Linked DNA regions of Rattus norvegicus. The protein of the gene in region 1 binds, or shares a complex with, the protein of each later gene. Links are inferred from orthologs where the notes say so. Each region holds a gene or a part of one and is shown in the gene's direction. Other genes may lie near its edges.

The links. Proteins that work in one complex are often made in the same cells at the same time.
Region 2: the proteins of Cul1 (region 1) and Cand2 are in contact, whole or in part, in a cryo-EM structure (PDB 8VVY), measured with the Homo sapiens proteins. The link is inferred for Rattus norvegicus from reciprocal best matches to the Homo sapiens genes CUL1 and CAND2. Residues at the interface, in NP_001357589.1 of Homo sapiens: Val31, Thr33, Arg34, Gln35, Met37, Lys39, Tyr42, Met111, Asp112, Trp123, Arg127, Phe128, Val132, Asn181, Leu184, Glu188, Gly193, Glu194, Thr195, Asn197, Thr198, Arg199, Ser202, Gln206, Val209, Glu210, Gly212, Leu213, Asn214, Lys221; in NP_001155971.1 of Homo sapiens: Asp21, Phe22, Phe24, Met25, Asn61, Gly62, Glu63, Gln65, Asn66, Leu67, Glu100, Gln101, Asp104, Asp156, Asp160, Leu189, Ala190, Lys193, Arg194, Glu276, Gln280, Asp343, Asp344, Trp349, Lys350, Arg353, Glu389, Ser492, Ser493, Thr494.

What each region holds. Positions count from the first base shown.
Region 1 is NC_086022.1:77,614,191-77,617,837, forward strand, and holds part of Cul1 (cullin-1), read left to right. Parts: intron 1-501; coding exon 502-594; intron 595-2,827; coding exon 2,828-2,875; intron 2,876-2,951; coding exon 2,952-3,034; intron 3,035-3,460; coding exon 3,461-3,566; intron 3,567-3,647. UniProt on the Homo sapiens protein: Core component of multiple cullin-RING-based SCF (SKP1-CUL1-F-box protein) E3 ubiquitin-protein ligase complexes, which mediate the ubiquitination of proteins involved in cell cycle progression, signal transduction and transcription.
Region 2 is NC_086022.1:150,514,080-150,517,726, forward strand, and holds part of Cand2 (cullin-associated NEDD8-dissociated protein 2), read left to right. Parts: coding exon 1-3; intron 4-449; exon of another isoform or gene 450-530; intron 531-1,104; coding exon 1,105-1,228; intron 1,229-3,490; coding exon 3,491-3,647.

The sequences.
Region 1 (3,647 bases):
AAAAGGTTCCAGTAGCGACCTGGTAATGATAATTTCTTTTAGCATTAAACTTTAGATGGGTGACTCAAACTGCTCATTAGTTAACCTTTCTACTTCTACATTGATAAGATAATTAAGTAACCATTATACCTGGTATGGAGGTCTCTGGCATCTTGAACACACACATAATATATACCTGGTATGTACCCCCACCCAGGGGGTACTACTGTGCATAAAAACTAAACTCATAATTCATGTCTCTACAACTGGTGCCTGTTTACACAAGTGTGGATAGGCTCTTATGTTTATGCTTGTGTAGAGGATACATCGCAGGAGAAAACTGAAAGCCCTTTCAGTGTTTGAAAGGTGTCTTTAAGGAAAATGTCCAGTCTCCTGGCCTTGTGACATTTTGTATTCCATCTCTTTTGTATCTGAAGAATGCATTTTGTGAAAGTAGGTTGTACCTATGAAGACCTTTCCTGTGTTTCACATTTCCTCCTTTCTTTTCTCTGGGCCGTGAAGGCGTCCACATTCCAGATGGCCATCCTGCTTCAGTACAACACAGAAGACGCCTATACTGTGCAGCAGCTGACCGACAGCACTCAGATTAAAATGGTAGGTCTGCCGTCTCATCCTTGCTTGGTACTCTCAAGCTGCCCGTTCTTTGTTCATTGGGATGTTGTAGAAAGGGGGAGAGGGCACAGGTGTCTTTGACTTAATAGATGTTAACTGCATGGAGAAAAAAATGAAAAGTAGTAAAACTTGGACTAAGGCACCGGAAGACCAGGCCAGATCCACCGAGGGCGTTTCTCTGGGACCTCTGACACTTTGGATGGCAACAGGACCACTGAATCCTCATGGTTGAGTGAGAGAAGTTTACATAATGGGCAAGGTTCAGTTGAGCCAAAGGTTAACCTGATTTACCTCAAACTAGTGTGAGGAACACCCCCACATTTCTGGTGCTGGTGGCACTGCAATATGGGTCATAAAGCTCCACGTGCCACTCTCATGATTTTATGACTTTACAGTTTTTAAGCAAATAGTTTTGGAGAAAACAGGTACTTAGACAGACATGATGGCTAGCACTTGTGATGGTAGTGGCCAGATTTTATTTAGTCAGTAAACAGCTTTATATAACCCCACTACTATCCCATTCTAGAACATCTCCACCCCTTGAGAGTAGACCATAACTGTTAGCAGTGACAACTCTACCTTCCCACTTTGCCCAATGCCTCTGATGCCCATTATCCTCTTCTGTGTTGTACCGAAGCAGGAGTGGACTCTTCTACTCTGGACATGACATAAAAGTAGAATCAAGCTATATGTCTCTTTCTCCACTTGCCTTATTTTCACTTATGTATATCCTGTCTGCAAAGGCTTAGCAGATAGTAGTATTTATTCATTTGCATGTGTGTGTGTACGCACACGTGTGCACATGTGTGTATGGATACATTTGTGTGTAGATATATGTATTTGTATTCACGTTTGTTGTAGACTAGAAGTAGATGTCCCTGTGTTACACTTTCATCCTTTCTTTGAGGCAGAGTCTCTCAGGGAATCTGGAGCTTATCCATTCAGCAGGGCTGCATAGCCAGTAAGACTTAGGGTTCTCTCACTTATTCCCCACAGTGCTCCAGACAAGGCTAAGCCTTCACATGAGTGCTGGTGAACAGATACACGAGTTTAAGTTTTTTCTCATTCACTTTATTTTTTGTTTGGTTGGGGTTTTCTGTTGTTGTTGTTGTTGTTGTTGTTGTTGTTGTTGTTGTTGTTGTTGAAACAGTCTCCTATAATCCAGGGTGACCTCAAACTTACTAAGTAGGCAGAGAATGGCCTTGAATTAACTTACTGTCCCTCTGCCTTTACCCACACATCTGTACTCTGTAGTGGATTACTGACATGCTCCACACCTGTTTTTATGCAGTGCAGGAGATTGAATCCAGGGCCTTGGGCACGTTAGGCAGGCAAGTACTCCACCACATAAGCTGTAGTCCCTCCCAGCCCCCATTTTATTTTTTAGTTGATATGTCCACTTACTGATGGATACACTGTTGTACATACATTTTTTATTTTTATAAAACCTACTCTTATTCTTTGCTGGCTGTTTGAAAGGGCTGACAGGTCTGCCTCTCTAGTCTCTACTTGGCCTTCTCCTCGATGCCACACCAGTCTTTCTACTTTTTTGTAGTATTAGAATTACCTTATGGGTCTTTAGCCGCCCTCCTTCAGGCCCCAGTTCATAGCTGCCACTCCTCTGACAGACCTACCTTCATAGTCTCAGACCAGCATGGGAGCCTTGGTTAAGAGTGCAGGTGAGGAAGTTAAGTGTCCATGAAGCTTGATGGTGCTGGGAATCACTGGAGCAGCTGATGCCTCAGAGAAGTCACATGATGTACTTGAGTTCACTAAAGCCAAGTTGGCAGCAGGTCAGCTGCCCCTGAGTTTGAGCTTGGTCATGAATGTAGTGTAGCATTGGTTCGGCCGAAGCTCCTGGTTGCTTTGTTTGCATGTTCAAGGGTGTGGTTTAGTGGTAGAACACTTGCTTGGCACCCAGCCCTGGGTTTGATCCCCAGCGCCACATAAATGCCTTTTGAAGCTTCAGACATTGAAGAAGTGAATCATTTCCTGTAGGTTTCATAGAAGAAGCAGGCCACATATTGTGTGCGGTCGTTTTGGGAAACTGCATTATTGCCTTTGAGTAGTGGGTGCTTCAGTCCATGTCACTTTCTCTAGGTGGGCTCTGCTTTGGGGTGATGACTACTCCTGTGAGACAGTGATCTGAGTCTCTGGGACAGCCACTAGAAAGAAGTATTCTTCCTCCTTGCTCACCATCTTTCTTTAATTGCAGGACATTTTGGCACAAGTCCTACAGATTTTACTGAAGTCAAAATTGCTGGTATGTTTGTATACTTTGTGTTGCTGGAAGTAACCCTTACCCTGGGATGTGCCTAGTAACAGTTATTTTCTTCTAGGTCTTAGAAGATGAAAATGCCAATGTTGATGAGGTGGAATTGAAGCCAGACACCTTAATAAAGTTATATCTTGGTTATAAAAAGTAAGAAAAATCTAATATATAGCTGTTGGTCTTCCCCCCTGGCACAGGGCATACTTCAGAAGCCAAGGGACTCTGCATAGGCGTGCTGACTGCCTGCAGTCCTCAGTGCTGCTTTGTTTAATACTGAGTTTGATTTTCTCTTTATTTTGAAAATAAGTTTAAGTGACTCATGACATGTTTAGACCTTTATATCAAGTTATTTTAGTGTTATTACACTTCACAAAATTGAGGGTCAAATGTCACTTCAGTCACTGCTCTTGGTAAAATTACATACGACTGATGGAGGAGCAGTTCCCAGGTGGTTGGTAGAAATGATGTAGAGAGATGGGTGTGAGCCACCTGCCCAGTCCAGAGAGGCAAAACATGCAGTGTTGAAAGACAGGAAGCAGGCTTTTTAATGACCTGTTTCCTCTGTTGTCTTGACAGTAAGAAATTGAGGGTTAATATCAATGTACCAATGAAAACTGAACAGAAGCAGGAACAAGAAACCACACACAAAAATATAGAGGAAGACCGCAAACTACTGATTCAGGTGACTGAACCATGTCTGCACTGTATGCTTAGGGAAATGTGTTGGCCTCATCTGTGCTCTAACTGGAAAGAGCTGCCAGAG
Region 2 (3,647 bases), about 73 Mb from region 1:
CAGGTACCCAGGCCTGCTCTTGCTTCTCAGCCCAGCTATGTCTCAGTTCTAAGGGCAGTGACTCCTCTCTGGGAAGTCCACAGTGTGCCTTCTGTGTGTCTCTGTTTCCCCTCACCCAGTGTTTACGCCTATGTTAAGTGTCTTTATTAAGTAGTGGCACTTGCCTTTAATCCTGGCATTCTGTACATAGAGGTGGTAGGTCAGTATGAGTTTGAGGTCAGCCTGATCTACATAGATCTAGGACAGCCAGAGCCAAATAGTGAGACCTTGTCTCAAATTTAAAAAGAGAGAGGACTCAGAAGTAAAAAGACCTACTTGGGTCCCTCAGTAGTCAAGAATTCAGACACAGATCAGTTTAAATTTATGGCTGCCTGTTTGTCAGGAATGCTTCCAGCCACAAGAGCTCAAAGTCATAGCAGCTTTTTTTTTTTTTTTTTTTTTTTCTTTTTTTCCGGAGCTGGGGACCGAACCCAGGGCCTCGCGCTTGCTAGGCGAGCGCTCTACCACTGAGCTAAATCCCCAACCCCGAAGTCATAGCAGCTTAAAGACCTTCTGTGATCTCTCTGGAGGGATGACTGTTGCTGCCGAGCTTTCTCCTCCCCTCTTCTCCCCCCTCCCCTGCTCCCCTTCTCCCCTCCTCCCCTCTTTCCTTCTTTTCTGCTGGAGACCAGTGCAGTGACTTAGATGCACTAGGCCCAGCCACTCCCATTCTTGTTGCAGCTCTGTAACTCAGTCTGGCAGACTCACATTCTTCATCCATGTTCTCCCCCCTTTGTAAGAAAAGACATTTCCCAACGGATTCTATCGCACTGGCCAGAGCTGGGCCACTGGCCATTGCTAGTAGCAGGGGACTGGGAAAAGTTTAACTTGTCTCCCTTCCTGGTGTGTGGGCCAGCCAGCAGCTTAGCCATTGGTTTGACCCTTTCCTTAGAGCTGATTCCTGCAGTTGTTCCTTAAGACTTGGGTCAAGCTTGGACCACTGAAGCCCAGGCTTTCCTAAACCACAGACATCTGGGGACTATGGGTTCAGAAGCACAGGCAGGCCAGAGTTGGCAGCTGCCGTCCCGAGCCAGGGCCTTACCCTTCCACTTGTGCCCTGCATAGGCTCGGGGCTGGCTATCAGTGTGTGCCGCAAGATCACCGGCCAGCTCACCAGTGCCATCGCCCAGCAGGAGGATGTGGCTGTGCAGCTGGAAGCCCTGGACATCCTCTCCGACATGCTGAGCAGGTGAGCGAGGCCACTTGAAGCCAGAACGACGGGGACAGGCAAGACCGAGATGAGTGGCCTGCAAGGCAGGTCCTGTGCTCAGGACGCCTTAGTCACCCAGCAGCTTTGCAAAGAGAGCAGCAGTGCCACACCATGGAACAGGCTCCCGAGGTCATCAGCTCCCAGTCACGCAGTGAACCTCTGGTGACTGTGCGTTTGTTCTGGAGGCAGTAAGGTTAGGTGCTAGCATGTTGGTCTGCGTTGTTCCTGGGGAGGAGTCACAGGCAGGTAGCCAACTAAATACAATAGTAGAGTGATTAAGTCAAGTACAGGGCCCAAGCTCGAAAGGCCCCGGTCCAGCAGCCGGACAAGGGCATCTACTGGAGCTGAGTCTCTGTGGGCCCTGGGCATCACAGAGGGCAGTGGCAGGAGAGGATTGTGAAAGGGTTCAGGTTTAGGGCTCAAGGGGACACTGATGCAGATTGTCCTTTTGATTCAAAGAGTAGAAGGGCCAGGTGTGGTGGTGCATACCTTTAATCTCAGTACTCCAGAGGCAGAGGCAGGCAGATCTCTATGAGTTCAAGGCCAGCCTAGACTACAAAGCAAGTTCTAGAACTGACAGGGCTGTTACACAGAGAAACCCTATCTTGTGGGGAAAGGGGAGATCCAACATGTTGGGCTCTAAGAAGAGGTTAGGCCTCTGGCAGAGTGGGGTTCCTTAAAGGTTTCAAAGGATTGAGAGGTTCCACACTATATGGGTGATACCTGTCTTTCAATTGGTGCTTGTAATCAGGACATCTCTGATTCAGGATGGCAGGGGTGGAGCAAGGATTCTTGTACTTAGAGGAAGGCGTAACTTCCAGGGTGTGGGAAGAGGGGCCCATTGATGAATATGTATGCATCATACTGTGTTAGTCTGGGACCTATATACAGTGTTAGCAGCATGTGTTCGTGACCTAAGCAGTCTCTGCTCTGGGTCCTAACAGATTTGAGCCCCGGGCTTGTGCGTGGTGAGCTGATTGGTATGCAGCAATGAGGCTGGAGGGCTGGGTAGGAGCCCCCAGGACACACCCCCATCCTCCTTTTCTCCCTCCTTCTGTAGTCTGGACAAGCAGGGCTGGATAGAAGTGCCTTTGTTTTTATGTTTGTGGTGGGATTGGGCCCAAGGTTTCAGTCATGCTGGGGAAGCACTCTACCACTGAGCTTTGTCTCTAACCCTCGCATGTTTTACTTTTGAGACTCCATCTCTCAGAGTTGCTCAGGCAGGCCTTGAACTCACTCTGTGATCCAGACTGGCCTTAAACCTGTAACCCTTCTGCCTCAGCTTTCCTAGCAGGTGAGACTATAGGCCTGTGCCCCTAAGCCTGGCTTGGCTTCCATAGGTTGTCTGAAGAGGTGGACTCCACAGGGTCTGGAGTGGTGAGACTAGAGGATGACCCTACAAGTCTGTTTTAGGAACCAGGAAATGAGAGGATTGAGGTGGGGTGCTCCGGGAGCAGAGAGGTACAGTAGGAGGTGATGTGTTCCATTTGGGCATGTTGAGTTTGTGGTGCTCGGAAGGCATCCCTCAATCAAGAGCTTCAAGGGCCAGAGTCTGTCTTTATGATCTGACTTCCAGCATAGAGCCTGTGACAAAGTAGATGAGTAAGTAGTCAGGCTGCAGCAGAGTGACCTGGGCTAGACACAGGAGAGTGAGGTCATGGGGGGCAGCAGAGCAAGAAGAGAACGACCTTGGGACACGGGGGTCAAAGTCACCCAGGGCTGTTTGACTGGGGGAGGAGCTGGGGCCACCGAGAGCCAGGGAGAGACTATATGAGGACTGCCACTTGTCTTGAGTTCAGAGCTCAGCTTATCCCGAGGACACTGGGGAGCCACCGCAGGATTAAGCAGAGCAGTGATCAAGTCTGTTAGGTGTTATTTCACTCGAGTCTCAGAAAGGAGAATAGACTTGCAGGGATGGGTATAAAGGCAAACCTCAGGCTTCCAAGAGTTTGGAACATCCTCACCGGAGCCCCCATACCCACTGCACTTCTCCCTGAGCTGAGAATTGGACACCTGGGTTCAGGTCATAGACTCACACTGTTGACTTCAAAGCCTTCAGAAGGCAGTCTCACCCCACTGACTGCCCAGTAATAAGCAGTCACTCCCCATCGTGAGAGGTACCTTCTCACTTTCCAATGGTCTTTGGATATCGTGAGTAGGAGGTACAGAGAAGATGGGGATGTGGATCCTAACTGCCTGAGTGTGGTGCCTGGCCTGACATTGCTCTCATCCTGTCCCCAGGCTAGGTGCCCCATTGGGCACCTTCCATGCAAGCCTGCTACACTGCCTATTGCCTCAGCTGAGCAGCCCGCGCCTGGCTGTGCGCAAGCGCACCGTTGTCGCACTCGGTCATCTGGCAGCCGCCTGCAGCACGGACCTCTTCGTGGAGCTTGCTGAT